2 linked regions of the Drosophila melanogaster genome follow. The protein of the gene in region 1 interacts with the protein of each later gene in a pairwise test. Each region holds a gene or a part of one and is shown in the gene's direction. Other genes may lie near its edges.

Region 1 (4,855 bases):
TATGAGTAACAATAGCGATTTTCTGCTGCCCTGAGTCATATTATTTGGTGTTTATTTACTCAATTTGAATGGAGCTGTAGTTTCGGTGGGGTATGATCAAAATAGGCACTTTATTTAGCACTGAAATCGAAAATCGAAACAACAGATTAAACATCTTAAATCTTTTTGGGTAAAATATTACCACTAGGTATCATATAGTCGAATTGCACAAAAATTTTCTCTGTTACAAGTTTACAACCTGTATTTATCTCACTCTGTAATTAGATATGACTTGTGACTTGAGATTAACAAAATAGTTTCGGTTAGCTGCAGGTAATGGGTATCTTTTAGTCGACGCACTTTTCTCAATTAATTTGCGTCTGCTTTATTAAGGAATCCTCAAAATAAAATTTAGCTATACTAGTGGTATTAATTCTTCTTATTGTTCATATCCATTCATCGTTTATTTGTTCCACATGCAGATGAGATTATTTTCTTTTCGATCAAAGAACATAAAACCGCGGTCGTACTTTATTTTCCCAAACGAGAACACGCAACTTCAAGTGCTTTCATGTTCGAGTGTCGAGATGTTATTTTTTTTTTTTTTTTTGCTGTATAGAACACGATAATTGGTTGGGTCATTAATGATATGCACGACACGGGCCGGGGTCATTTTGGGTTAAGGTGTGCTCCCATGTTGGTTTGCCCCAGAAGTCGAGATACATACATACATACATATATGTACATAGATCTTCTGGCGAATGGGGAATGCCGAGTCACAGTGCTTTGATGATCGCCCGAATTGTATTCGAACCTTCGTTGATCTTTTATGACCAAGTATATTTTGCATACATATTTTTCTAAATATTAACATATGCATGTTGTATATGCATATAAATAAACAAATATATATATATATATATATATTTATATATGTGTGTATTGTTGTCCGTCCGTTTCGCACTTTTCAGGTGAGTGGCGTTCGGAGGCGGGCAAACAATGCAGGTACGTTGTGGCTACCGTTCGACGGAAAATACATACAAACATACATATACATATGTACATACATGTATGTAGAAAACGAAAAGCCTCACAATACAATTGGTGGGCATGTGCGAATTGTTTGCTTTCTCAGTTGTGACGTAAAGCAATTTAGGTCGGCCGATAGGGTTATGCTAATGGACTATTCAATACCTTATGCTTGTATTTTTACTGCTTTGCCGAAGATAGTGAAATTGAATAGTGACTTTGTCATTCGACTGACATGTTCATTGACGTTCATTATTCATAGCCATTGCTCGCACAGGATTCATTGTTTCTAGAAGCTGTATGCTGAATCTCAATCTTCTAGCTTTTATAGTACCTGAGATCTACGGATACGGACAGATACGGACAGACGGACATGGCTAGATCGACTTGGCTATTGATCTTGATCAAGAATATATATACTTTATATAGTTCGAAACGCTTCATTCTGCCTGTTACAATGCTTTTTTAACGAATCTAGTATAACCTTCTACTCTACGAGTAACTGGTATTCAAATTTAGCTGATTAATTGAGAATTACGAGAATCGTTAGCTTTGGATACTCGATTACGTGGGTTAAACCGATAGCTTGTTGAAGGGCACTGTGATTGTCTGGCAACTCGTTGCGCGAAGCGTTGCCACCGTTCAAACAGATCCTGCGCAGTGGACCACGTTCTCCGGCAATGGGTTCAACTCGCTCCCTCCTGCCACGCATTTCTCTCTCTGTTTGTGTGTGTTTTGCTCATCTAATACGTTTGTGTTATGGTTTTTCCATTTTCGAGGGAGTCCAACCACCCGACTCCCAGCGCCGAGTGAAATTTGGAGAGAAAAGGCTAGTTCGAGTGCGATTACCGCTGCTGCTGGTGCTGGAGCTGGCTGTCAGTGGCTCGAGTTGGCAGTGTTGGTGGATACCGTTGCCTTTTTGTGGCTCAGAGCGGTTTGTTTGACCGCGAGCGGAATGCAGATAAGCGCGTTTTAAATGAATCACTGAACGATCGAATGTTATACCCATCGAGGGTCGGCCAAACTTAATCGAAAGTGCACCAATAAACGGCAAAGGGTCGAGAAAAAGCGAGCGCAGGGAGCTGGAAAAGTTGCATTGCCTTCTTTCTAGCGCACAAAGAAAATGAGCGCAAAGGTAGGCCAAGAGCGCGCCTCTCTTTTGCTGAACGTGTGTGTGTGTGTGTGTGAGTGTGTCAGTGTGTGAGTGTGCTGTATGTGCAATCAGAAGTACCACCCCACCACACCACACCACTTCCAAACAGTCCGATTCAAAGTCATAATTTCATTTGCATTTGAATAAATGCATCCCAGGCACACCACCCTCTCACCACTCACACATCTAAGCTGCTCCGATTTTATGGTCCTTGGTATAGAGAAATTGTAAGGAAAGCTGCACAAATGAAGTAGCTACCATATGGTATACCAAATAGCCAGGATACTCGCAGCCAAATCGAGAAAGGAGGTGGCATAACGACAGATAATGACGAGTCGAGAGCACTCATTCTACCAGATTTCAACTCAGTGCAGCTCAAGTGAAATCCCATTGTGGTGGTGATTCGGTGAATCCCTGCAGTTATCATCTGTTGCCCTGCAAAAAAAATGGCATGAAGAGCCGTTTATGAACTCGGAGAATCCGAAGTAGCCATCATTGACTTTCACATGGGCTCCGTTCGGTTCATTAAAACTCCCTTGGATGGACGCTTTGGTAGAATAGTCGTAGTAAATGGTTGAGTGAAATATCCTTATTTCGAGCATAAGACTAAGGTATATAATAACTTAGTTAATCATTTTCAATGGGACCTAAAGTTGCATCATATTCAATCATGTTATGAACTTAATATATTTCCCATAAAAGTATTAAGACGTCAATTCCGTTGATTTGCCCATTAAGTCGAACCTTTCAATGGTTTTCTACCTCCTTGTTTTTCAATACATTAGCCGATTTGATTGGTGGCAAAAGGAGGGCTCGTTAGGCGTAACGCCATTTAATGCGTGTTTACATTCAACAGTCTGCTAAATGTCAGTTGGTGTGCAGCCTGTGTTTACATTGCGATGGAAAATCGTGGCGAGAAGCAGTCCAAACTGAGGGATACCTCTTGCTTAATGTGTTTTTAAATGTGGTTCTATGTGGCCCATCCATTTTCACGTGTATTATATACCTATTGTATACCTGCAATATCATATCGCCCCCATCCATCATATGTTATTTATATCGCTTGTTGTCCGACACCAGATTACGTTCGTAAATCTATATCGAAAGCTTAAAGATACCAATTTGTTGGCAAACAAGATCGAGTGCGAAATCATATCATATGGCGCCTTTCCGATCCCCGATCCCAAATCGACATTAGAATATTATTCGGCATACCGAAAATGGGTGGGTTGATATAGAAGATATATAGAAGTGCACATAAGCAAGGCCGAATCTTTTGGTGTATATTTGCATTGTGTTAATTGAATACATATGCCGCTCCTTTTCATTTTAATGCGCCCAGTATATCCATTTCGGCTACATCTTGGCACATATTGCCGCAGTAAACACGCACACAGCCGCCAGTCAATTAATTTGAGTACAATGCAAAACTATCCAATATAACGCGCCGTTGGCCCGTAGATGTTTTCTGCTTTCGGCGGGCATTGTTGAATTGGTTGGTCGCAGAACTCGGAACTCGCAGTCCCTGAGTTCCGAAGCTCTCCGGGCTCGACCGCCAGTGCCTTGCGAGCGGTCATGGGCTAAGCACAGATAGTATCGTTGCCGCGCTCTGTTTTCGTATAGCTCCTCCCGTCGAAGTTCCGAAAAATAAACACACTACCGCATACCGTGCTCTCCCCATACACAAAGATTAACCAAAATGTGGCTTTCCGACTGCCGTTCGGTATGTCCGTGCTTCAGCTCCTGTATCCCATTCACTTTTAGTTGGGCACCTTAGTTAGACATGGAATGCTGACAAGTGGTTGAGAATGGGTTTTGTTCATGTTCATGTTTCAGACTTCGCGATTTCTTTCGAATGGATATCTAGATAGCGAGTAAAAATAGTCCAAAGATTACGAGGAACTCTTAGTACAAAATTATACATATATTTCTCTTAAGTTGTTGTGCATTACCTTTTTCTATTTCTATATTTCCATATAGTTTGGGTAATTTGCAAATTGTTCCTATGATGAATGCACATTTTCTGAAAACCCAAGGCATATCGTAAACTTGGAATGCTCTGCTGACTGCTGAAGGGTTAACACTTTTGAGTACATAGAGCACCATATGAAAATGGGCAGCAGTGGGGGATGTGAGAGAAATGTAAAGCACAAGGCGTTGAGTGAGCGCTAAAGAACGCACGGTATCTATACAATCCGAGCGGAAAAGCTTCGGTCTACTTATCAGATGCCCTAGACCAAAACATGTGATAACAGATAGCAGCAACATATTTAGATTATTAGATACACGTTGGTAGGCAATTTGATGGGTTTGCAACAATTCGATTCTCATTCCAGATGACGCGCTACAAGCAGACCGAATTCACGGAGGACGACTCGAGTTCCATCGGCGGCATTCAATTGAACGAAGCGACCGGCCATACGGGCATGCAGATACGCTACCACACCGCCCGGGTATGTAAGAAACCTGTCGGGGTAACACCGTGCATCCGTGCAATGCAATTCAGTCGGATAGCCACTTAGTTGTCGTTGGGCTTCAGCTTTATCTTTGTGGCAATGACCCAGAAACGAGTGGCAAATGGGGCCAAAGTGAGCGCTTTTCTCATTTGCTCGAAGGTTGCCAGTTGACAGTGAAAAGTCTGCTCTTATGAGTGGGAGCGCGTTGGTGTGAGCTTTTCCCTCTGCGAACTGACAT
Region 2 (6,586 bases), on another chromosome or scaffold:
GGAACTCTGCGAGGTGGCTATGCACACTTGCAGCCAACTGAGCGTGACGCAGTGCGGGATGAGGAATGTGTAGACTCCATGCCAACGGGAGCGTTTGGCCATCATAATTAGCAGCACCGGAATAAAGAGATACAAGGCAGTGCGGCAATTCAAACAGAATTCAATGCCATTGCCAATGACAAACGATGAGAAAGTAGGTACGCGTAGGTCAAGAAAGCGCCAGCGCGTAGACACAACCTCGTCCATTTCGTACGGATATTTGGCAAGAACATTTACGGCAAAGGAAACAATCACTAGCCAGTCAGGCAGTTGGTGGGAGGAGGCGTACATGGACACGCACATGGTGATGAAGGTCAAGGCTCCAGAGATTATAGTCAGCTCCGAGTGTGGCAGCCAGGCGTCTGTGACCAACGGGTAGACAATCAGGTTGCAAATGAAGGCACAAAAGAAGTACAGGTACGGCTTCATATTGTTGCGTAAAAAGCGATGCTCCGCAATGTCCGCCTCGATGTTCTGATCCCCGTAGCTCAGGAACAGTCCCGACCAGATGCGAAAGTCCACGAACTGTTGTTTGGTTTTCAGCATCTTACACGTGGCCCAGATCATGATGCCCAGACTGAGATAATAGCTGACCAGGGGCAGCATATGCCGGCTGCTCCACCAAGAGATTGCAACGAGCACGCTGCAGCGCACGCTCAGAGGGATGACGTTGGGTATGGACACAATCAAGTTAAGCAGCCGGTGGTAGAACAGGGTGAAGAAGATAAGCGGGTGGAAGATCATGCGGTAGAAGCAGGGTACATGGTCCAAGCTCCTAGGATCCGGGACGGATAATGTGAGAGCATCATTAACGCTGGGCATTTGTCCGGCACTGTAATTGGAAGCTGCCGAAACGAGGTGAGCTTCGGTGATGAGGCGGCGTCGCTCCACATTGGCTAGGTCAATGGTGGGCACATCTTCGAGCGGTTCGCACTCCGGCTCCTGCTCGCCCTCGCTGCTCGACGAGGAGCGGTCATCATCGCGTCGACGCCGCTTGCGTTGCAGATTGTAGATGCGCCGCATTTTGCGCTCCAGCTGCTTGGGCGTTATATGCTCGTTTCCATTTGATAGGCAGGCAAAAAGCTCCCGGGCTGCTTTTCTGGCAGCCCGCTCACCAGGCGTCATAGCCAGGCAGCGACGCACTTCGTCCGTATTCTCTGCCGTAATACCGCTGCCATCGTTGTAGCACTGGCGTAGCAGCTTGACTGCATCCTCGTGTCCATTGTGTGCTGCACTCACCAGCCAGTTGACGGCCTTCTGGCTCTGATTGCCTTTGGCAAGATTGGGCTCTACTGCGGACATAGCAATCTTCATTATCTTGTAATTCTCGAGCAAATCCTTACACTCACCTATGGAATTATCGAGTAACTCTTTGGCCAGATCGTATTGCATCTGGGGGCATCCCTCCTCGGCGATGTGATGCTTAAGTTTGTTCAAGGAGGCACGATCTGTAAGGGAAAACATCTTCACTTTATGAACGTGTATCAATCAAAGCTCAGAGATTTACCTTCCAGATTCCAACGCCTGCGCTTGGTGACACCTGTCGGCTCATTTTGCGTCCAGGTGGCCATCTATGTCGAGTTTTTCGCTTTGTTTACGAAAATCTATGAAATAATTCTAGTCTTGACTTAGCGATGGCATCGTGTAGAACTTGTCTTAGAGATGGACTCACAAATATTAGTTAATATAATTATTAATTTAAAAATTTGTTTACCAAAGTTTAATTATTCATCGTATATAGTATATAAAATACATTTATGTAGTATAAATAATTTCCTATATTTAAATTTGTGTTCTTTGTGTATAATGTCGTGACTTCTAATCGATAAATAACTCAAATGTACTCAGCTGTGATTTCGATATTGCGACATCAAAAATCGATTCACACACATGCCGGCTAGATTGTTTGCTGTTGCAAAAGTAGTTGTTTATTTTTGATTTATAGGCATTTCCCAAATAAGAGCCAGCACAAAAATGGAGAGAAATCTGCAGAAGCAATTATACGGCATATCGCGCGAATCTTCACCAGGTGCACGAAGGTACAGCATGCCAGCAGCCTCGGCAGACAGCACGCGTAAATCAATTTTTGGCGGCAGCGCCAGTTGCGCCCAGATGTCGGGGAGCCTCAAAAGGACTGCCCTGACCAACAGGTATGTGCTAACTTATTCTCCTGGAATTTCCCACTCATCAAACAATCCTTTTCAGCCGGCTCAGCTTGTCGGTGCGTTCCACTCAGTCCATTGCCGGCATCCGATCCGATTACAATTCGGTAGAGAGCTTCGGTTGTCCACTGCCGGTGGTGGTCAATGAGGCACTAACCTTCGCAGGTCCAGGAGCGGGCACAGTAACAGCCAAAGTGACGCAAAACGGTTGGGCTTGGGTAATATATCAGCAACTCTCATTGTATCTGGTTCAGCAATCAGTACGATTACCTTTTCAGGTTGTCCAAGGCAGACGCCTCTTGATTTGGCAGTATAAGGACACGGCCAAGTCGGGCTCGCCACCTCGTGTGGGCAAACTGGCAAGACGTGGTGGTGGTCTGGCCCAGTGCCGTGAATTGACTTTACCTTACAGTGACCTGGGTCACAAGAGTGATTTAATCAGTGTTTTCCAGACGGAGGGTCAGCAAATGGCCTCCTGCATAGCGGTATCAGCCACGGGAGAAGTTCGGTACTGGTCATCGATTGCGCACGATGGGAACTCCGTGGATCTTTCCATCTTAACTGGCCAAGAGTTTGTCCAGCTGCTCAGTCTACCAACGCAGCAGGGCTACCTAGCCGTTACAACCACCTGCAATCTGGTATTCCTGCGAGTCGGACTGACCAACGGACGTTACACACTTCACCATAAGACTATCAAGCCTGCCACTAGCTTCCTTGGTGGTTTTGGCAAAAAGTTTGCCTCCATTTTGATTGGAATGAACACGGGTGCAGACAAGGATCAAGTAAGTATCTTCGTCCAGCATGGGACAAAAATCTCATGAAGTGTTTTTTAGACTTTGGTCGGCATGTGCTGCGAGAGCAATTTAGAAAGTGGAGAAACCATTGTGGCCGTGCTCTCTGATCGTGCAATCCAGCGCTGGAGTCTGTCCAACAATGGCAACACCGAAAACCTTCTGTACGAGGATGCGGATATGTTGCGCAGGATACGCGAAGAGTTTATAACGAACTTTTGGAAGTTCCGACTCCCAGCGGATAGTTTGGAGATCGATCTCCATCTGTTGGACTTTCACGTGGTTAAGAACAAAGCTTATATACTGGCTGGAGCTGTGAATGCTGCTCACGCTCCACAAATGTGCTACGCTCTGGGTAAGAAGTATGTGACAGCAAATCTTGATATGGTATATAATGTTAAGTATTTTAGTGACTGGCACTGCTCAAGCTGAAAGAATGCTTCTGGAATCGTTCACGCCGCTCAATATGAACAAATTCTTTAGTGCCAAGACTGAGGAGGATTGCCTCAGCGTGCGTTTTGTAGTAGGCAGCAGCCACATCTATTTGTATACTTCTAAAGTTGTGTATCCTCTGCACTTGACCAACTCGGTGCCGACAGCAGAGCTAGAGGCGGAAAAGATCGAGTTCCATCAGCACGATGATCGCATTTTGAGTGCCGTCATCTGCAGCCAATTGCCATTGTTCTTTAGTCGCACACATGGCCTAGTTTCTATTACACCGGGCGATTTTGATGGTACTGAAATGATGAACATGAGCTCCTGCAACACGCCAGATTTATATGCTCCCAATTCGTGTAATGCTAGTTTCGCAGTTGCCGATCATTCTGCTTTGACTAACAGTACTAATAATCTTCACCTTTTCGAACTGGATCCGGATGAAATGTACAACGAACTAAGCGATGAAGTTGGTCAACTAAAGGCAGCGTTCCTATATCACATGAAACGCAACAGCAATATGGTCAAGACGATCGTCGATGAGCTGCTTCGTAATGTCACTGCAGCCGATCCAAGTGGTGCACCCATGGATGCTTACAAGTTGGATCGAATTGTTATTACCATCGCCGAAGACTTGGCGGAGGATATACCAATAGCCGATCCCCGATGGGAGGAGGCACTTGCAGATCAGGAAATGAATAGGCATGCCATCGGCAGCTCTCGTTCAATGCAGATTATCAACCAACTAAGGGACAAGATCATTGCTTTCCAGCACTTCATAACGTTTCTGCATTCCAGTTTAGTTTGGGACAAGGTATAAGGACAAAATATTTATTTGTTTATTTATTTGATTTTGTTAACAAAATCAATACTTTTCGTTCCAGTTAAATGTCATACCTTGCGGAAGCCATTCGCTGAAACCCACCGGCTGTATTCTAGCCGATATCAGCGAGAAGATAGTGGCTGCTATGGCTCTGCGATCCATTCAGACCAAACTGCCCAAGCTGATTGAAGAGGCTATCGATGCCACCGTAGCGTTATGGCATGAGGAGCCTCAGGGCAGCCTAACTTACCAGGATATATTTTACGTAAAGCTGTCTAGGTTTCAAAACGTGTTCGAGGCCCTGGCGGATATTGCTGACGATCGAATCGCTGCTCAGAATCAGACCACCATATCAGTGGCCCACTTTGTCAACGAGATAAACTCCATTGTCCTAGACGTTTTGGGACAAGTGTTCAAGTATCGAAAGCAGCACGCAAGCAGCTTTAGACTGAGCCACGAAAAACTACCTTCCTACGAGAATCTACCTTGGACTGCGATGGCTGGCAGTGCGGGAGTTCGTGACACGCTGACTCGCCTCATTGACATTAGCGTTCGCTATGGCAGCCACTGCGTTAGCGAGACTGAGCTAAAGCAGCAATTGTACCAACAGATATTCGAACTAATTGATTTGGTTTTGGACGGACGGAAGACTTACTTAAAAAGCGTGCGCGACACGGAAAAGTTCAATGTTCTGCAGCAGCAGTTTGAGGCTCAGCGAAGGGAACTCATCTCCGTGCTAAGTAAGTTGTGTATTCTATTCATAATTTAAAATTCTTAAATATTTCTTATGTCTTTTTTTTTATTTTGTAGTCAAAGATCGCCAATACGAGTACGCCGCAAAGATCGCCGAGAAGTACCTCGATTTTCAGAGCCTGGTGCTTATCTGCGATGAGACGCAGGACAAGGAGCGACTGGAAGATTACACCCGCAAGTACGAGGAATATGACTTCTCACAGTTTGCCATCAATTGGCATCTGCGCCAGAACCGGCACGGCGAGGTATTCGAACGCTTCAAGGGCAACCAGACGGCTTTGGCTCAGTTCATGCGTGACCATCCGTCCCTTGGGTGGATCCAGCTAATATTCAACGGCGACTTCGAGCGGGCGGCCAAGGTGCTGTACGAGTTGGCCCAATGCGAAACGGAGTTTGTGGCGCGCAAGAAGTCTATGCTGTCGCTGGCCAAATTGGCCGCCTTCGCGGCAGCCGAATCCGATTTAACTGCCCAAGTTGAAAAGATCAACGCAGATCTTACGCTGGTCGAATATCAATCGCAACTGGGCCATGACGTACTGGAAAGCTTTGGCTTCGATCCAGCAGAACAGAAGGTGCTCAAGGCAGAGGAGATTATCAGCGTAAGATTTCACAAATTAATATACTTAATTCACTTATAAATATTACCGTCTTATTATCATTAGCTTTACATCGCCGAGGAAAATGAAACTGCCAGCGAAACGGAATTCCGTAAAGCTTTGGAACTTCTGAGCTACGTGGAACAGCCGTACGACATGCGGCACAAGATCTGGTGTGCAGCTATAAAACGCGATAACTGGACGGACTACGATCCCAACAATGCGGTGCATTACATGCAGAAGTTGCTCTTTTACAAGATCATCGAAATCTCGCAGCTGATGGGCAACGATTCCGAGAACGTTTTGCCACCCATGGAAGACTTTCTGGAGAGCGTGGAGCTCGGCGATTTGCCGCAGCAGAAACCGTTTCAGTATCTGTTGAAACTGACCTATGAGTATGTGGCCGACATGTTCAAACAGCCAGACGACATGGAACTCTAATCAAGCACCTCACATGTCTTTCTATTAAAGTTTACGTTAAGAATTTAAAATGATGGCTGGTGTTCTTGGACGGTGGACAGTTGCCTGCCTTGTTGTTGCGTCGCTCAAACGCAGGCATTATAAAATATTATAAACTAAGTTGCTTTGTCACAGCCGGTCTCTGCCGGCGAAAGTATCTGAAGTGTGGCGAACGGAGAGTCGGAAGCCCACCAAGTGTGTTCGGGGCAACTCTAGAGTCGGCCTGACTGGCAGCTGTGCTGTTTGCATTTGTCGCCGGTGCGCATCAGTTTAACTTTGATTATGACGGACGAAACAACGCCGCTTACCGATGCCGTTCCCAGTGGCTCCGGATATGTTGTCCTGCCGCCGTATCAGGGACCGGAGCGTGTCTTTCCGGGTGGTGTTTCTCCGCGTGCGCGACGCAACAAGATGCGACAGTTCCAGTGCTGCATGGGCATCACCTTTATGTGAGTGTGAAACGAAGAGTTGGAACTGCGGCAAAAGAACACCTATCCTTAGAAACTATTGCTATAGGCTCTAAATTGT

The links. The genes of interacting proteins can lie anywhere in the genome.
Region 2: the proteins of Nep3 (region 1) and Nup133 interact in a two-hybrid assay, tested with the Drosophila melanogaster proteins (one large-scale study listed by BioGRID).

The regions. Positions count from the first base shown.
Region 1 is NC_004354.4:19,959,458-19,964,312, forward strand, and holds the start of Nep3 (neprilysin 3), read left to right. Parts: upstream 1-1,839; 5' UTR 1,840-2,143; intron 2,144-2,231; exon of another isoform or gene 2,232-2,388; intron 2,389-3,718; exon of another isoform or gene 3,719-3,884; intron 3,885-4,497; coding exon 4,498-4,614; intron 4,615-4,855. UniProt on the Drosophila melanogaster protein: Metalloendoprotease which is required in the dorsal paired medial neurons for the proper formation of long-term (LTM) and middle-term memories (MTM).
Region 2 is NT_033777.3:22,688,687-22,695,272, forward strand, and holds Nup133 (nucleoporin 133kD), read left to right. Parts: upstream 1-1,920; 5' UTR 1,921-2,013; coding exon 2,014-2,189; intron 2,190-2,244; coding exon 2,245-2,419; intron 2,420-2,479; coding exon 2,480-2,983; intron 2,984-3,034; coding exon 3,035-3,347; intron 3,348-3,402; coding exon 3,403-4,241; intron 4,242-4,311; coding exon 4,312-4,990; intron 4,991-5,060; coding exon 5,061-5,602; intron 5,603-5,665; coding exon 5,666-6,040; 3' UTR 6,041-6,086; downstream 6,087-6,586. Other genes in the region: wfs1 (wolfram syndrome 1), read right to left, coding at 1-1,331, 1,389-1,487, 1,547-1,610; cd (cardinal), read left to right, coding at 6,341-6,507. UniProt on the Drosophila melanogaster protein: Probable component of the nuclear pore complex (NPC). Plays a role in NPC assembly and/or maintenance.